Diceros bicornis minor: one gene and its partner. The main gene of each other region encodes a partner of the protein of the gene in region 2 in a complex. Links are inferred from orthologs where the notes say so. Each region holds a gene or a part of one and is shown on either strand. Other genes may lie near its edges. The genes, in order: HTATSF1 and DDX46.

What was found.
Region 1: DDX46 (region 2) and HTATSF1 share a complex: the UniProt entries of both Homo sapiens proteins name them as parts of the 17S U2 SnRNP complex. The link is inferred for Diceros bicornis minor from reciprocal best matches to the Homo sapiens genes DDX46 and HTATSF1.

What each region holds. Positions count from the first base shown.
Region 1 is NC_080781.1:124,126,907-124,136,402, reverse strand, and holds the start of HTATSF1 (HIV Tat-specific factor 1), read right to left. Parts: upstream 3,715-9,496; 5' UTR 3,532-3,714; intron 3,348-3,531; 5' UTR 3,293-3,347; coding exon 3,107-3,292; intron 1,393-3,106; coding exon 1,212-1,392; intron 560-1,211; coding exon 512-559; intron 1-511. Other genes in the region: BRS3 (bombesin receptor subtype-3), read right to left, coding at 8,656-9,069. UniProt on the Homo sapiens protein: Component of the 17S U2 SnRNP complex of the spliceosome, a large ribonucleoprotein complex that removes introns from transcribed pre-mRNAs.
Region 2 is NC_080740.1:53,801,784-53,811,246, reverse strand, and holds the start of DDX46 (probable ATP-dependent RNA helicase DDX46), read right to left. Parts: upstream 3,584-9,463; 5' UTR 3,449-3,583; coding exon 3,432-3,448; intron 339-3,431; coding exon 150-338; intron 1-149. Other genes in the region: guided entry of tail-anchored proteins factor CAMLG, read right to left, coding at 8,005-8,196. UniProt on the Homo sapiens protein: Component of the 17S U2 SnRNP complex of the spliceosome, a large ribonucleoprotein complex that removes introns from transcribed pre-mRNAs.

The DNA of each region.
Region 1 (9,496 bases), on a different chromosome or scaffold from region 2:
TTTTAATGTATTCAAACACAGTCAAGTGCCGCACAACATTTTGGTCAATGATGGACCACACATATGACAGTGGTCCCATAACATAAGTATCATAAAGCCTATGTGTGTAGTAGGCGATACCATCTAGGTTTGTGTAAGTACACCCTGTGGTGTTCACACAATGACAACATCGTCTAACGACACGTTTCTCAGAACGTATTCCCATCGTTAAGCGACACATGACTGTATACATTAAATTATGCTTTGCTTAGGCCTTGTATCACTGAACCTGAAGGGGCAAAGCACCATAAGTTACCTAAATCAGACAAAAATGATGTCATGCAAAATTACATACACATAACTTTTCTTAGTTTTGTAATAAATAACAAACATATTCCCTGCTAATTAAAACAGCTAAAAATATTGGCACGATGATAAAAAATAGATTTAGAGAAACTGAAAACAAAATCACTTCACAAAAAATCTCATCAAATATTTTCTATTCTAAATTTGTTTAAAAAGGTATACGTACCCGACACGTATACATTTGTATTTCTCCCTTCTTCAACATGAAACCATCCTAAAAATCAAAATGAAATAAATAAAACACATGCAAGAAAAGGTAAGAGTCATAATATGAAACCTTGACAACGTGGCAGTTTCTCAAAACTTCCAGGAACTTTTCCTTACCTTTAGAACAAGACAGACTAACTCAAATCACAGTCCAGCTTTCAAAGATTTGGATCTTTTTACAGATAGTTTCAGAGCCTTGTCTGAAAAAAGATGGCTAACTTATCTTGGTTCTTTATGATTCTGATACTAACTTAAAAAAAAAAACAAAAACTCATCCTTGCACTGACTTTAGGCCCTGGCATGCATAGGTTGCTTCTGACTCCAATCTACTGTGTCAGACATGGCCAAGATGAAACAAGATTGACTTGAGTTCAATTTAATTAAACACAAAAAAATAATCTTACAAACAGAATTTTTGATAATCCCCTAATAATAGTTCTATTTTGCAAAGGAAGAAACTGAGGCATAGAAGTGAAACAGCCTACCTAATACTCACAAATTAGTGTGAGAGCCAACATATAAACCCAAATAATAACTTAAAAAATCCTCATCTTACGATTCCTTCAAAGCTATTATAATTATCCAAAAAGTAATTATATATACATACTCTCACAATTTTTAATTGTTACACTCATGTTTTGCAAGCTAAATCCACTTGCCTGATTCGGCCTTTCTCTTTTCTCCCCTCTTTTTGGGATCACTGGGTTCAGGGGTCTGTCTCTGCGGAGGTTCCTCTACAGTCCTAGTGCCGACATCTTGTACATCTGCAGTAGAGCTAGACGCGCCATCATTAGAAAAGCCGTAATTGGCCTGATACGTAGCAATGAAATCTTCAGTGATCTAAACAAGAAATTTAGTCCACACACATACAGAAATTAAAAAATAATTCCCTCCCATAAAAAGTTTATGCTGTGTTAAATTACAGCACATTCAGTTATACAAGTTAACACAGAAGTGCTTCTGTAGATAATAGTTATCGTAATTAAAGTGTAAATGCAAGAATAGTCACCTTATATAGAAAACTGTGCATAAAATGATAAAAAATAAGAAATGGGTACTTGGATTATCAAAAGAAAAGTCTGAGATACTACTAAAGCATTTTAAGTGATGTTGGCACCTTTCTAGTTGTTTCATTTATAAATTACTACCTCTCTACAGTCTAGCTGACTAAGGCTACAAGTACGTGGAACAAAGCAACTATCAGGTAACAATAAAAATAAAAAGCAATAGTCAAGTAATAATCTAACAGAATCAATTTTTCTTTTACTATATAGATGCACAAAAGTACATGTACACTAAATTTTTAAATATCTGTATGCAAAGAAGACACAGAACTGAACTGTGATTTGGTATATGAAGAACAGAGCTAACAATTGTAAAACGAAATGCTTATTCTAACTCTATCACTAATTAAATCACATTATCATTTAGTGTCAGAACAAATTAAGTACAAACCCAACGCACATCTATCCTCCTGGCTTTTAGGTAAAAAAAGCACAATTGCACAATGAAAGAAATGCAGTTATATCTTCATACTGATCAATGTTAAACATACATAGGAATGGGGAAAATTTTAAACTCAAAGTTTGAAGAGGTATGGGCTTTCATAACTTAAAAACATAGAGTCACAAACTAGTCCATTACCAGACTGTTGTTAAAACTACTCAGAAGGCTGAAGAAACCAAGTCTGCACTGGAGCTGGCACTACCAGGACAGAAGCGAAATAAAAAATTTAACAATTTGGAGGGAAGGGAATATATACACAAATACAAAATGAGAAAGAGAGAAGTTGAAATAATCTTTTAAATAACAGTCAAATTACACAATGGAGACACGGTTGTATTGCTGGTTTGCAAGTCAATTAGTGTGCTATGGTTATCCTCGTGTCCAACCCTAAGAGGCTGGTTACCAGGATACTTCTACTGAAAAGTTCACAGAACCAAGTTTAACACCAGTTATTTTACTTCCAAGCTGAACCAAAATAATTAACAATGTCCAAGTACTCTAAATAAATATACACAGATTTTTCCATCCATACTCTGTGCACTTCTACTCATATTCCTATGGTTATATGGTTCAAACATTTGTGTCTAAGGACAAAATTTAATAGGAAAGTAAAGAGAGGTGCAAAGTTCAATCAGTAAAGATTTCTAAATGACTACTCTTTTTTTCCCAATCAAGAAGCTGCATTTTGCACATAGTATATAAGCTAAACATCTGCATTCCTAGGATAAATGAGTTGAGCTACTAAATTTGAGCTTGGTGTTTCTCCTCTTTGCAACAAAAAGCAGTTACCAATGTAATAACCAACTGTGACCTTCACAGGTAATATTAATAAGGCATAGAAAAGATTTAAGAATTAAATACATTTAAGACATCTTCCTAAAGATTTAGCTTCCTTTACACATCGGTTCTGCAACAGACACAACAAAACAAACGTCACTATCCATGCGGGCTCTAACCTAGGACCTCAGCAAAGAAAACGTCAAAGGAGCGCCCCGCGAGGCTGGCCAGGCGGGCCCGCTCTGCAGTGGCGCCCGTGCCACTCTCTTACCTTGGGGAACCAAGCCTTCTTGTCCAGGTCCCATTCGTAGGGGGTGTCAGCCGGCTGCTGCCCGAAAGAATCGGGTTCCCCGCCGGGATCTTTCTGGGTGTTGTCGTCCTTGGTGTCTCCGTACAACTCTTGCATTCGCAACTGCTCATCAAACTCCTCGTTGCCATCCAAGTTGTTGCCGCTCATGTTGCCGACTTAGCCCGAGGGCAGGGTCCAGGCGAGCGAAGAGGCCGAAATGACGCTGGAGAGGCACAGAGAAAAGGCGGTCGGCTGCGCTCGGCCCGCGCCCCGCAGTCCCCCGGCCCGCCTCCCCGCGGCGCCCCAGCAGCCCCCGGGAAATCGGGGCCGCTCCGCGGCCGCGCCGCCCCCCGCTCCGCCCGCCGCGCGCGCGTCGATGCTCCCAGCCCGGCCGCGCCGCCGCCCACCTGGCTCACTCCGCCGGGCCTCGGCGCCGCCGCTCGATCCAGGGCGCGAACGCTGCGCGCCCGCGCGCCGCCGCCGCCGCCGCCGCCCGGGTCTGAGGCGACTGCGGCTCCCGCGGCAACGTCAGGAAATTACTTGAAAACGGAGGCCCGCTCAGGCTGACGCAGTCGCCATTGTAGGCGCGTCGCGACGTCGCGGGTCGCGCCGACACGCCCACCGTGGCGTCAACAGGCGCCGACGCGGGCAAGAGGTGCGGGGGCCAGAGGGCGGGGCGCCGGGGGTGCCGCGTGATAATGGCCGCCCGGGCCGCCTCAGGGGGCAGCGGTACCTCCGGCACCTCGGGCTCCGCCGGGTCCGCGGCGGGCAGGGCCGAGCCGGGCCGGTAGCCCGAAGGCGTGGGAATGTTCCCACTGGGCAGGCGCCGCGGCGCGCTTCGGGCGGCCGCCATCTTGGGGGAGTGGATGGGGCGGACAGGACAGGTTTGTCTTGCTGAGAAAAAGACGCGCCTCCTTCGCCCAGAGGCCCCTCCTCCGCGTGGGAAACGAGTCTTTTACTTGTTTCTTTATAGTTTCTCTAGGATAGGCGCCGGCTCTTCTGCGTCTTGGTAGCCTCAGTTCCTAGCACAGGGTCTGGGGTCTAGCGCGTACTGAATGAGTGAGTGAAGGAATGAACGAAGGAACGATGGGTAGAAGAACCAACCTTCTTTTCCAAGCCTCATCCCCTCCTTTTTCTCTCCGGTACCTTCTTCAGGCTGGAGATGGACTCTGTGGAAAGGGAGGGAGGGCAGCAGTTGCCTACCTCTCATGCTCCATGATTCAGAGATGCTCAAGCTGCAAACCTGAAACTTAAATGTAAACATCCAAGTATAAACACCAGCTTTGCTGGCCGACTAACTTCATTTTTTGTCTTTCTGTTGGAAAGACACGGAATGCTTTTCCTCTAAACAGAACTTTTTCCCCGGGAGTTATACATATTGCTGAAAATGAAGAGGTCTGTATTTTTTAATCGGGCAGGCATTTATTGGGTTCCTACTAGGTACCAGGCACTGTAGTAGGCTCTGGCGAGCCAGCAGTCAGCAAGACAGGCACAGCTCGGGGGTTACACACTTAGGTTGTCTGGGACATGATAGGATAGAAGAACTGGACGCTGGAGAACAGCGGTTCCCAAACCTTTTGGTGTTGGTACCCCTTTACACTCAAAAAATTATTTAAGACCTCAAAGAGATTTTGTTTATGTGAATCATTCTTATCAATATTTGTCACACTAAAATTAAAACAGCTATTTAAAAGAATATTAATTCCTTTAAAACTAACAATAAACTCATTATGTGTAAACATAAATTTCATAATGCATACTTGAGGGTGGGGAAAAGCTTCCCAGAAGAAGTTCTTTTTACTCTTCTAGTGACCTTTGCTTCTAAACATAGCGATTGAGTATGGGTTCTAGAAAATCCTAACTCCCCAAATACTAGCTGTGTGAATATAGTTTTAACCATAACAACGATTTTTAAGTAGTAGCTTGAGTTTAGGTTTTTTTTTTTTAATTACATTTCTTTTTCATGGAGTTCTTGTTTTGGTGGAGACTTTTGGAGAACTGCACTTGCATGCATTTTTATAATATAGATAACATCAGTTTTGTTAGGTTCATTTAAGCATTGCTGAATATTTCTTCTTGGCTCCAGAAATAGCATACAGCTGTTTTCAGCAATGTGTTGTTGGGCTCCCATTTTATTCCTGAGTGAGATCACAGCATAGGTGATAATATGCTATACAGCCCTACTGCACGTGACACTCTGAATGCCTGCTATATCCACGGGCCCCTCTGAGCAGGTGGCCAAAAAGGTTCCTTATGCCTACGTCCCATGGGGCCCAGCCACCCTGACCCAAAGGCTGTCCAGAGGTGTGTGAGGGGACCTGGCAGGGTAGCCGTGCTTTCTAGACAAAATTTAACTGACTGAGCCAATAAGAGCGTCTCCCCAGGAGAGGAATGAATATGGAAGGACAGGGACATGGTCAGAGTAGCACAGAAGCAGGGGAGGGCCACACAGGGAGGGTAATAAGCAGAACAGAGGCCTGCTGTGGAGAAGTTCCCCAGTGGTGAGAGCAGAAGCTGAGGCAGTGACAGGGTCACTGAGTCACCATCATAGTGCAGCAGTGGAATTGGGAGCTAAGCACACTTGTACCTACAATGGCGTTCTCTTTGGCCACGAGACCTGACAGTTTTTTTTTTTTTTTTAAACAATGCTGTTGTCTCTATGAGGGCTGGTTCCTGTTTGTTGTTATTTCCCTGTATAGTCATAGAATTAACTCCCTAGTAACTGAGGAAATCTGGAAGTATCTCTGTCTTCATAAGACAGAGAGCTTTTTTGCAAGTCACAGAAACACTCAAGGTAACAAGCAAAAACGAGGGAGCTTTATTATTATGAAGATAGAGAGTAGCTCCTGAAATTCCAGGCCTGGACTGTAGATGGGCCACATGAGGGGCTGCTGGACCCAGGAAGCCGAACCAGTCTCAGAACCTGGACAGCGGCTTCTCTCTGAGTATCTCCTTCATCCTTCTCTCTTTGACCTCTGTAAGGGGTGATCTGTGCTGTACTCCTGATCTAATAGGCCAAGGCCTTCTTAGTGGATAAAAATATAATAACCTACAAAGCAGAGATCTCTTGGTCAGAGAAGTCACCTACCTGGCGTAGGAACTCTTTCTGGAAAACTACTGAGCTATACCAAACTAGATTTTTTTTTAATGGCCCATTCAAGCTTACTCTGTTCGGGAATTTTCCTGTCCCCACTTTCTGTAATCTCAAGACTTAGTGGAAATAAAAGTAACTCTGTTTGACAAAATGATTGATGGATCCCTGACTTAAGATGGTTATAACTGCAGAAATTCTTTAAACCCAAATTTGCTATTTTCACTAGGTATGCCAGTGTTAAATATTTTGTAGTGCTTTCAGCTTCAGTGACGAAGACTTGCCCATCGAACGTTATGGTTGTGCCTAAGTATGTTTTGTGGCTTTGTTTTCCTGCTTGGTAGCATATTATTATGGTCCATCATTCTAAGTCTTGGGTCATGGCAGACCCCGAGCAAAGTTGAGAAGTATACAAAATTTGTTTTTCATGTGTCCCACCTCTCCACCCATTTAGGACCATCTCCAAAGAAATGAAATCTTCCAGAGTAACATTTCTGGCACCACAATAGGCAAGGTGAAAGAAATTGTGAATATTGGGGCCTACTTGTATGGTTAGTTCTGACAAGGATAATCTGTTAAAAAAAGAGACCACTCCCTCCAAAAAAATCCAATCAAAGCCATGAATTTTAATCTTAATTCCCCAACTCTGGATGGGAGGCTGATGCCCTATAAGATCATTTAGAGAATTATTTTATGTCAGATCCCTAAGTCACGTAGGGATTACTGAGCATGAAGAAAATGAAAGTTCTTTGAGCTCTAGCTTTATCAACTGCTAAAAGGCTCTCTTGGCTTTTGTAATCTGGTACTTTAATCAAGTTATTTCTAAACTGTTATGCTTAGGAGAGTAAAGATGTAATTTTTACCCAGAGTGAGGAAAACAGTCAAATATTTTGGAGTTTGGTGACTTGAAAATCACTTAAATTTTCGAGTTAAATGGGTTCTCAGTTATCTTCTGTTGGAAGTATTGTTTTTAGAATATAAAATTACATAGTCATTTAAAACTTTATTTCACATTTATTTATTTCCCCCCTTATTACAATGTCCAACTTAAAACAATACAAATACAATACTAACACCCCCCCACTTTGACTAAACTGATTTTACAGAAATGTAAAGTCTAGTGTTAATATATATCCCCTTTTTGAGCCACATGATTAGCAAAAGTTCACAACTACACAAGCCATTTAAAGAAAGCTCGAAACTACCAAAAGCACACCCCAAAATCAAGTTTTTGAAAATACAAATTTAACTACCTATAGTGCCAAACATATGCTTTAATTTGCCACAAGAAAACATTTTCTGAAACCACAAATCTGAATCTATGTCTATTGACAAAAATTATTTGAAATAACAGTTATGAACAAGCTTATAGCATTAGCAAGTAGGAGCAGAGGAGAGAAAATCAGAACCTTCCATCTGATTTCCAAGGGCAGAGACTAATTAGGTCATACTCTTACAGGTTTTAGGCACCCATCAAGTTTAATGAAGTCAAGCAGAAAGATGATCTGATAACAACTGTGCACCCAGGTGTTAGGGATTTCCTGTGGTACTTCTGCACTTTTTAGAAAGAGGGCACTGCTTACCAGAAAGAAAGGAATTTCCTTAGAGGAAAAATTTCAGACACTGGTAGGCTTGCACATTTTTCAACACAGGTCCTTCCCTGGAGCCCTCAAATGACGCGGTAAACGTGGCCACTTATTCTGCCTGTGAATAAGGCAAGTTATTCACAATATTTGTGAAAGATAACTTTGCCCAATTATCAATCAATGCTGGTTGTAAGTAGAACCACATTAAGTCAGTAAGTGTTGACCCAGTAAGGCAAGCCCCCTGCCCCAGATCCTTACTCAGTATTGTACTTTATACTCGCTGACCCCAAAACACTTGCCTTGCAATGCACAGCTTTAGTTTTAGTGGAATAGAGATTAATGGAAAAGGGCAGTCAAAAAACCTGTGAAGGTTTATTTTTTAGGATTTTGTTTTTCAAGAAAGCGACAGAAGAGATGTTTTATCTCTCTTTGATCCCCTTTTCATATGCAAGTATAATCTCTAGATTTACACCACATAATAAACACAAACACAGTTTTATGCAACTCACAGGAGTATATGAGAAATAAGCATCATAGATGTGATGGAAACAAATCAGAGTTGTAAGTGTCATCTTGTTTATTTTACCTTCCCTCCTATTCAGCCTCCCTTACTACCCACTGACGTATGCAAATATGTCTTTCTATACCTACTGAGGCTTCACTTTATTTAGAAAGCCCAATGACGTTAATGTTTGTACGTTGAAGAAAATCAGTTTGTCTTTTACTTATCAGGATCCCTCACTCCTAAGATTTCAGCACAATTCACAAACAACACAAACCCAACCATACACCTACGCACAGCTCAGAGTCGGATACACACGCTGGGAGGAAAAATACCATTTTTAATTGAAAAGCTAGACTCTGTCGTCTTCCTTCTTCACACTACACCCGGTGAACAAGGTCACACTAATTTCAGACACCTGCCTGCTCCCAGCACCAGGGAGCCGTCCCATCACAGCCAGGTTGTTCAGAGGGGTATCTGCAGGTGGAGGGTCAGGCAGCTCTGCCTTGCAACAGAGTAACTGATCTTTAAAATGCTGCTGGAAGGTTTTACTCAGCCAGTAAAGAGCAAAGGGGTTGACACAAGAATTGCTGAATGCCAGGACCCGAGAGAAAATGGTGACAATAAAATGAATGGCAGAGGGCTCCACGTAGGTTTGATAAGTGAATGAACGGTAGAGATACAGGAGGTGATTTGGCAACCAGCAGAGAGCAAACAGAGCCACCAGCACTAATACCGTTTTGGCAATTCTCTTCCGGGATTCAATCTATAGGGGGGAAGAAAAATGGCAAAAAATAGAAAATCATTTAGCTGACAGAGATTTTAAAAAGCTATTCTCTAGATTTACATAGAAATTTACAGTTAACAGGCTGGTGTCCCTTTGAACGTGCGTTTGTGAGATAACTGGCTGGGATGTGCAGGAAGGCAGCCTGTGGTTATAGAATACAGTACGTTAATTGGCATGGTAACCCATGATCTTGGTCTCATTAGCTCTAATTCAGAGACTCCCACCCCTGGTTTTGAGATACTCTAGGATGTTTCCAATTATCTCAAGGAGTGTTGTGGAATTCTTGAAAATTTAATTTAATTTAAAAAATAGGTGCTATACAAAACTGCTTTCACTGCATCAGCAGAGGCTGAGTAGATTAGAATATTCTTCTGGTGTTTATGAAAGTTGCCAAGCTGCTACCAAA
Region 2 (9,463 bases):
CTTCCAGATCTAATCAAAGAAGCTGGGATTAAAGCAGAGGGCCTGCAAAAGGGGCCACTAAATTCTAGTCCAAAACACACTTTCAAAGAAGCACAATTTAGCCAAGAAGGCCCAATTTACCATGGGTCCTCTGGAGATTAATGTCTTACCTCAGACGCTTCCTGTCTCTTGACCGAGATCTTCTTTTATCTCTACTACGAGACCTCTCTCTCCTTCTATCTCTGTCTCTGCTTCTAGACCGTCTGTCATCTCCACGTTTACTTCTTTTGTCTGAGGGTGAGCGACTTCTAGATCGACTTCCAGAGCGTCCCCGTGAAGCCGATCGCTTCCGATAGTGGCTGAGATGTTAAGTTACAGATTAAGCTTAGCAAATACAGTTGGCTTCTATTATATTTATTACATTTTTCAAAAAAAATCTCAGCAGACAAATTAAACACTGAAAGGACACTTTATACATACACTTCTTTAAAATTAGGGGGAAAGAATATAGCTATAGCACATGTTGGGGGATGGGTACTGTCTTGAAAAGGAAATAAGGACAGTGAACAAAACAGACCAGGCTCCTGCCTTTGGGCCTTAAATAGCTTGCATTGTGGTAAAGGAAGAGACGACAGAAAAGGAAAAAAATAAATATACAATATGTCATGCGGTGCTATGCAGAAAAACACATCAGAATAAAGGAAAAAGAGAATGAGAGGTAGGAGGTTTGCTATTTTATACTAGGTGATTAGACAAGGCCTTGCTAATAAAGTGACATTTTGATTGCTTGAAAGAAGTAAAGGAAGGAACCACGTAGACATGGGGGAGGAATCTTCCAGGCAAAAGGCGCAGCAAGTGCAAAGTCCCTGAGGAGAAAGCTTGATTGGCGTGTTGCAAAACAGCAAGGAAGGCAGATGTAGCTAGGGTTGAATGAGTGAAAGTGGCACGAGAGAAGGTCAGAGATATAGCAGGGTAGCCAAATGTGGAGAACCTTATAGGCCATTATAAGGACTTCTTCTTTTACTCTGAATGAGATGAGAAGCTACTGGAAGATTTTAAGCAGATGTGTGAAATAACCTAACTAATGTTTTTAAAGCCTTACACTGGCTGCTGAGGGGAGAACAAACAGAAAGAAGGCAAGGGCAGAAGCAGGGAAAACACGTAGAATGCTATAGCAATCATCCAAGTAAAAGATAATGGTGGCTTGGATCGGAATGTCAAGTGTGGAGCCGTTAAGAGTGTCAACATTTGGATATTTTGAAGCTAAAGCTGATTGGATTTAACGACTAATTAAATGTCAAGTGTGAAAGCAAGGGAGACATCATGCGTGTCTCCAAGATACTTGGCAGATCGAGTAGAAAAATGAAGTTGCCATTTACTAAGGTGGGCTGAGGGAGGAGCAGATTTGGGGGGAAGGTGGGAAATCAGGATATTAGGCATCCAAGTGGAAATGTACAGTAGGTAGTTGAAATATGAGTCTGGAGTTCATGAAGGAAATATAAATTGGGAAGTCATCAGTGTACAAAGGCTACTTAAAGCAATAAATCTGGATAAGACTGCTAGGGAATGAGGACACCTGATTTATCCCTCAAGTACCTGAAATTCAATGTGTAGAAACCCAAACCTGTTACCTTTCCCTCTCCAATTTATCATCCCCAATTCCAGTCAGCTGGCTCAAAGATACCACTTATCTTCAGTATTTTTCTCTTTCTCATTCTACACAACCAATAAAACACCAAGTATCTCCAATCTCACCTCTGTAATTCTTTTCACAATACACTGCCTCCTCCGAGTTCCCACTGTCACTACTCCATATCAGACTTATCTACGTAGGACATTTTAGGAGACCCCTGGTCTTCCTGCTTTTACTCTCTTTTCCCTTAAACCTGTTTACTCATTGTTGCTAGGGTAATCTTCATAAAGCAGAGTTCTGATCCTATTATATACACATAAACACACACTTCTTACTCAAACTCTTCAAAGGCTCCCAAATAAATTCTTATCCTCAAAACTACAGCTACAAATTCATCCACATTCTGGGCCCGAGTCCCTTTCAGAATCTACCTCCCACTATTTCTTTTCAACCCTTCATGAAACCTATATATGGAGGCAAACCAGGATCTATTTATTTCTCCAACAACCTGCTCTTTTCCATCTCTGAGCCTTTCGTTATGCCCTGAACAAACCTAGAGTACAGGCCCTGCGAGGCAGAGAATTAGGGGAAAAGGCTGAAGGGACTTTCTCATGGAGGGCCTTTAAGGCCGTGCTGAAAGAGTCTGACTTTATCTTGGAAGCACCAAGAACCAATGGAGAGGAAAGCAGGGGAATGACACGATCTTAGCTTTATTTCAGAAGTATCACTACGGCTGCAGTGTGAAGATCTACTAGGAGGGCAAGATCAGAGGAGATAATCAATTTGAAGCAGGTGTAGCAGTCTGAGCAATAAATGATTAGGGCCTGAAGACAGAGACAGTAGGAATGGGGAAACAGCACAGAATCCAACAGGATGTAGGCAGTAAGAGAGAAGAACGAATCAAATAAAGATCACTCCTAGGTTTCTGGTCTGGGTGGCCAGATGAACAGCAATGCCTTCACAGAGAGTTAAAGACCTTTACAAGAATTTTCCGCAGTTATGGAAATATTGTTTATCTTTACCTAGGTGATGACTACACGGTTTATATATTTGCTAATTTCATCAAGCTCTACCCTTAAGCTTCGTCCATTTCCCTGAATGTTAATTTTACCTCAATAAAGTACTATTACTTAATTATTTACAACCTAAATACAAAGGATCTTTCAGTCACTGCTAAATACATAGTAAACACCCATCCTTAAGATAAAAATCTCCAAGTCCCAAACCAGGTAACGATCTCAAGTTTTGAAAAGATATCATAGTTCTAATGAGACCTCCCAGTCCACAGGTTAAAAAGGATAGAAAACATAACAAATATGGTCTATTTGCAAAATAAATGTCCATGCAATAGTATTTATTGTAGCCCAATAAAAGCCTAGAAACGTAGAGTGGTGTAGGTGATGTAAAAATGTTTGTCCACACGCTCCTTTCAGCTGACTTGGGAAGATATCACACACGCACAAAGAACTCAAATAGAGAGCGATGGGCTCCAATGAAATGTTGCAAAGGCGAAGCGGTAAGAAATTCAACTGGGATCACTACTGACGAGGCCACCAGGGCAGGCTCCGCGGAAGTGGCGGGATGTGGTGCCCAACCACTGATGTCCTGGAGGGGTGTTCCCGCTCCAGGGGCTCGAACCCAGCGATGGCACTACCGTCGCCAGCCCAAGTACAGCCACTTCCTCAGCCGAGGTCTCCCAGCCCCTCCAGTGGCCGCGGGCAGCGCTGGCCGCACGTGGGGCCGCGCCGGGCCGCGGCCACCTCAACTCCCGCCTCTTCCCCCACTCTCAGGAAGCCGCTCGCCCGCCGCGCCACCTCACCGTGACTCCCGGCCCATGCTGCCGGCCGCCAGAAGGGGCGCCCCTCAGGACCACGCGCAGGACAACCGGACAAAGGAGGAGGCCGCGCTGCCCTCGGTTCGCCGTGCGAGAAGCAGCACTAAGCGGAGGCAGCAGCTACAGCGGCGGCCGCCATCCGAGCGCGGCCAACGAAAACAGGACGCGCTGGCGCTGACGGCAGAAGGAAGGAAGAAGCGGACCGGAAGCTGCTGCCTCTCCACAGCGCCGCCTCTCGGCTGGAGGCCGCACACCGCCGGCCGCGCAGACAGACGGTGCCAAGGCGCGTTTTCTGTGCACGGCCAGGGAAGCCCCCGCGCGTTGGTGCGGTGGAGGGCGGCGCATCAGCCTTGAGGGTTTTGGGAGAGTGTTTTCTGCAAGGTCCACCAACGCGCCATGTGCATCCACGAGCTGTCCTGGACGTGTACTGACGTCTGCCTTAACCTGCGCTAAGAGATGCTACAAACATCTCCATTCACTCTCATTCATTTATACATTCATTCATTTATATATATTGTTACGTGTCAGGCATGCGCTAGATCCGGGGGAGCTTACAGGCTAGGGGGAATATAGACATTACTAAAAACACAAGTAGTTGTAATACAACAAGAAAGAGATTCCACCGTAGGAGAGGGGTTCAGAAAAAGAATTCCCTGAGGAAGTGACTTTTGAGGTGAGATTTGAAGACTGAGTAGGAGTTAACTTGAGAAGAGGACGAAGAGCGAAAAATACATTCTCAAGATTATAATGGTTCTCAATATTGCTTGCACTTGGAAGCTTTAAAAAAATAATACAGATGCTTGTGTTCCATCCTGATATTCTGATTTAATTGGTTTGGAGTGCTACCTGTGCATTGGGAATGTTCAAGCTTCCTAGGGGACTCTGAAGTACAGTCAAGCTTGAGAACCGCTTGCCTGATGGAATACACACAAAAATGTTGAGTTGCTTAAGCAGAAAGCTGTAATGGAGTTGGGGAGAAGCTCTCCTATTTACATGCCTCTGTACTATTTTACTTTCTTACATATCAGGATGATAGAAAAGTTCTATATCTTGATTGTGGCGGTCGTTGGTTGAAAATAACGTTTGTCAAAATTCATTGAACTGTACACATTAAATTGATGCATTTTATTGTATGTAAATTTTACCTCAAGAAATTTGGTTTTTAAAAAAAAATGAAACCGAGTTAAGACTCCAAGACAAGCTTCTACTCTTCCTCTGTGGCTTACTGCCCACCTGCGGCAGCAGTGCAGTCCACCCCAAGGGTAAGGTAGGCCTGAGCGATTATGTGACAAAATGGACACCAATGAGGGTCAGGTATCAGAGCCACTGTAAATTGCTTGTATGTTGGTTGAAGGTAAGGAGTATGGTTTTCAGTCTAAAAGAAATAGGAAACCACTGGTTACTTAAACAGCGGAGACACTGAGAAGTGGTCAGATTCTGGATGTATTCCGGAGGCAGCACTCCAAACAGTAATTGATAAATTGAGTGTGAACTGTGAGGGAAAGGGTGGAGTAATGATGACTCTCAGGTTTTGAACAGAGGTACTATGGATTGTTGTGAATTTAGGGAGATGAGAAAGGCGTGGGAGCAGCAGATTTGGTGGGGGGAGGGGAGAGAAAAATCAGTCGTTCTGTTTCAGTGATGTGATGTTTGAGATGTCTACTAGATATACAGGCCATACTGGCTACATAAGGGAATACAGTTGTCCCCCCTTATCTGCGGTTTCTCCTTCCTAGGTTTCAGTGTCCTCTGGTGACCATCTGGGTTATCAGATCGACTGTCACAGTACTGCAGTGCTTGTGTTCAAGTAACCCTTATTTTACTTAATAATGGCCCCAAATCTCAGTATTAGTGATGCTGGCAATTCAGACATGACAAAGAGAAGCCGTAAAGTACTTCCTGTAAGTGAAAAGATGAAAGTTTTCAACTTAATAAGGAAAGAAAAAACTTGTATGCTGAGGTTGGCTAAGATCTACAGTAAGGATGAGTCTTCTGTCTGTGAAATTGTGAAGGAAAAAGAAATTTGTGCTAGTTTTGCTGTCACACCTCAAATATGTATGTAGCACAGGAAAAAACAGCATATATAGAGTTCGGTACTATTAGTGGTTTCAGGCATCCACTGGGGGTCTGGGAACGTATCCCCCTCGGATAAGGAGGGACTACTGTATATGAGTCTGGAGTTCAAGGGAGCAATAGAGGTTAGAAAGGTAAGAATCAGAGGCACTTTACAGAATGTATAATAATACATGGTATTTGAAGCCATGGAAATGGATAAGGTCATGTAGAAGTTAATGTTACTGCTGGAACAGATTTTTAAAATCACATACTCAAGTTTCTTGATTTTAAGCAAGAAAACTGAGACTCGGGAAACTAATTTAATCCTCAATCACTCATATTTTTGGAATCTAAGCTGGAACCAGAACCCAGGCATTTGATACCCAGGCCATAGCTCTTTCCAAGATACTTCATTTCTAACTCCCCTTTAAGAGAAGGGGATGAGTCTTCACATCCTGTCACATTCACATGACAATTCTGTCTTTTTATGCCACATATATATATTTATATATGTATTTATAATACATATATTATGCATATATATATATATATATATTTTTTTTTTTTTGCTTAGGAAGATTCGCCCTGAGCTAACATCTGTTGCCAATCTTCCTCTTTTTGCATGTGAGCCTCCACAATAGCATGGCCACTGACAGACGAGTGGTATAGGTCCGCACGCAGGAACTGGGCCTGGGCTGCCAAAGGGGAGCGTGCTGAACTTAACCACTTAGGCCACTGGGGCTGGCCCTGCCCACAATATATTTATGTAAGTTCACAGCACTTCTACGTCCTGGAAGAAGCTGCTTTATCTATTACCACAGGTCTAAGAGTAATTATAGTCTACTATGTCTCCAATATATCACTTTTAGCAAACTGCCCTGGCTTCCAAAGCAGATTTTGATTCTGACTAATTAACCCAGTTCTGAGTATGTCATGATCCTCTTGCTGTTTTTAGTACCAACTGTGATGTACACATGTCCATTTATACAACTAATCAGACTAAAAAGCTATTGATCGAAGATGTCACCTCTCAACAACCATCCTTGTCAATCTAGTTTAACTCATATACATTTCAAGTCCCTGAAATTTCTAAATAAAATATTCTTTTTAATTATTCCAAACACTAAGAAATTTCCATTTCCATTTGATATTATTCAACACTCTTGGTGAGAGATGCAAGCAAATGATCAGGAAGATGCCAATTAGCTGAGGAGAAAAAGCGGCATTGACAGACACGGATATATCTTACAGCTCTTCTATTTGAAATAAATTGGATAATGATCTACAATTACTAAAACTTTACACATGTCAACTGGCTAAATGGGGCTTTTTTCTTTAGGAAACAAAAGAAGTAAACGTGCAGTTGAAGACCTCTAGCGTCTTCCCAGGGATTGGGGAGAAAGTGACAAATGCAAGGATGCTTTCCAATCCTCTAGATACTAGATTCCTTATGGAATCAGGAAAAATATGTGCTTATAATCTTAACCTAAGTCAACAGAACAGACTTAAATTATTATACTTATTCTCCATTATTCTGGTTCAAAATAAAATGCCAAAAACCAAGACTTTGTGAGTAATAAAAAAAAAGTATATGTTTTTAATATTACAAAGATTAATCAAATAGACCATACAAAAATCTGTAGGAAATGTAATACCAAGCAATATAACACTTATGTTTTATACTTTTTTAAGAAGACAAATCTTCCAAATATAACAGCGTTACCAAGTTAGTTAAAAGGATATTTATGCTATTGGGTTGTATACCTCAGTCAATTCTTCAAATCCCATTTTTATATCTAATCATTCTATTCTAGTTTGCTTAAAAAACACACTTCTGAAAATTGAAAACTCAAAAGTGTAAATTTCCAATTCTGAGTTTGGTAATAAAAATTTTCATAAATATAAATTAAGATTTCATAAATACCTTCTAATTTCACACGTATGAATCTTAATAATTTCTTCCACTAAATATTTGCACTGGAATAAAAATTAAGATACTGACTCAACAAGAAAAGATAAAATTGGCTACCTTATTCAGCTCTTATAAGTTAAAATGTGCAGACTTAACATTAGACAATTCCGTTTCTTTCATTTTATTTTTAAGATGGCTCCATTTCTTAAGACAGAACAACACAAACACAAGATACAGTCATTGGGGCTGGCTGAGACCACATTCACCTGCTCTCCTAAAAGCACTAGGTCAGCCCCCAAAAGAAGAATTACAAATCTGAGAAGTTAGGGAAAGGCGTAGGACTAGGGATTCTAATTAAACAAGAAAAATCAATTAATGACAATGGTATTCTATTCTTCACATCATTATTAATACAAACTCAACCCTTTTAAATCAGGGAACCTGCCATGCCAATCCTAATCAAGTGGCTTTACAACCCCTATAAAGTAAAAGAATTACATAAAGGTGTAAACTGATTTGCCTCTTTAAAGACATTGCAATATAGAAGAGAAATTGTTTTTTTTAAGCTTCTCCTTCTGAGTTCTGCAGGCTTCATGGTACTTCACAGCCCCAATAATCAAGCAGTTCATGACAAAAGATAAAAGTGAAAAAGTAGACACAGAGATCTGTGAAAACTTCGCCCATTTTGCTATAGGTATCCATCGATCGATTTATCACTTCAGCAGGAATTCCAGATAACAGAAGTGCAGCTGTTAGTACTGTTGTCTTTATCTTCTTTTCACTCTGTATAGAAAAAGACTTAAATAAATCTTACAGCTTTCAGAAGACTCCTTAAGCTCTATAAAAACATTATCAGTATATTTTTGCCTAACTGATTTCAAAACTGTTAATGAAGTTTCAAAACATCAATCAATAATATATCAGCAGACATTTACTGAGGATATAATATGTAAAGCAGCAAACCGCTAGACAGTAGGGAAAAGACCATTTTTGCTATCAAAGGTTAAAAAAAGTCTTATCTTGGAAGCAAGACAAATAACAATTTAAGATATATACAACAGCATAAGACAAAAACAGGATAAACATTACTAGACAGGATATAAAAGACTTCTAAATGAATGACATGGATAATGTGTGGCATGGTGGCTCAAAGGAGACAGAAATTAGTTCAGGCTTTTATGTATAAATAAAGCACAGAGAAGGATTTCAGAAGGAAGCGGAATTAAAAACAGGTCCTCAAGAATGAGCAATATTGGGGCCAGCCCAATGGCATAGTGGTTGGGTTCATGCACTCCGCTTTGGTGGCCCAGGGTTCATGAGTTCAGATCCTGGGTGTGGACCTGTGTACTGCTTATCAAGCCATGCTGCGGCAGGCATCCCACATATAAAGTAGAGGAAGGTGGGCAAGGATGTTAGCCCAGGGCAAATCTTCCTCAGCAAAAAGAGGAGCATTGGCAACAGATGTTAGCTCAAGGCTAATTTTCCTCATCGAAAAAAAAAAAAGCTACAGTTACCCAGAGAAATCAAAGCCTATGTTCACGAAAAGACTCATACAAGACAGTTCTTAGCTGCTTTAGTCATAATAACCCAAGACTGGAAACAACTAAGATGTCTATCAACAGGAGATTAAATAAATGGATATATTCACACAATAGAATATTACTCAGCAAAAAAAAAAGGGAATGAACTGCTGATATACGCAACAACATGGATGAATCTCAAAAATATTATGCAGAATGAAAGAAGCCTTGTACAAAAAAAGTATGTACAGACATGATCCCATTTATATGAACTAGTAAAATAGGCAAAACTAATCTACAGTGAGAAAAAGAAAATTAGACCTTCAGGGTGTAGGGGCTGGGGCTGCCTGGAAAGGGGCATGACGGAACTTCCTGACAGTAGTGTTCTAAACTTTGAAAGGATTTAGGTTTCACAGGTTGTCAAAAACTCATTAAATGATATAAAGACTTGAGCATTTCACTGTATGAAAATTTTACCTTAAGGAAAAGAACCATAAACAAACACTGAATTGTAGTTAATGATATGTAAG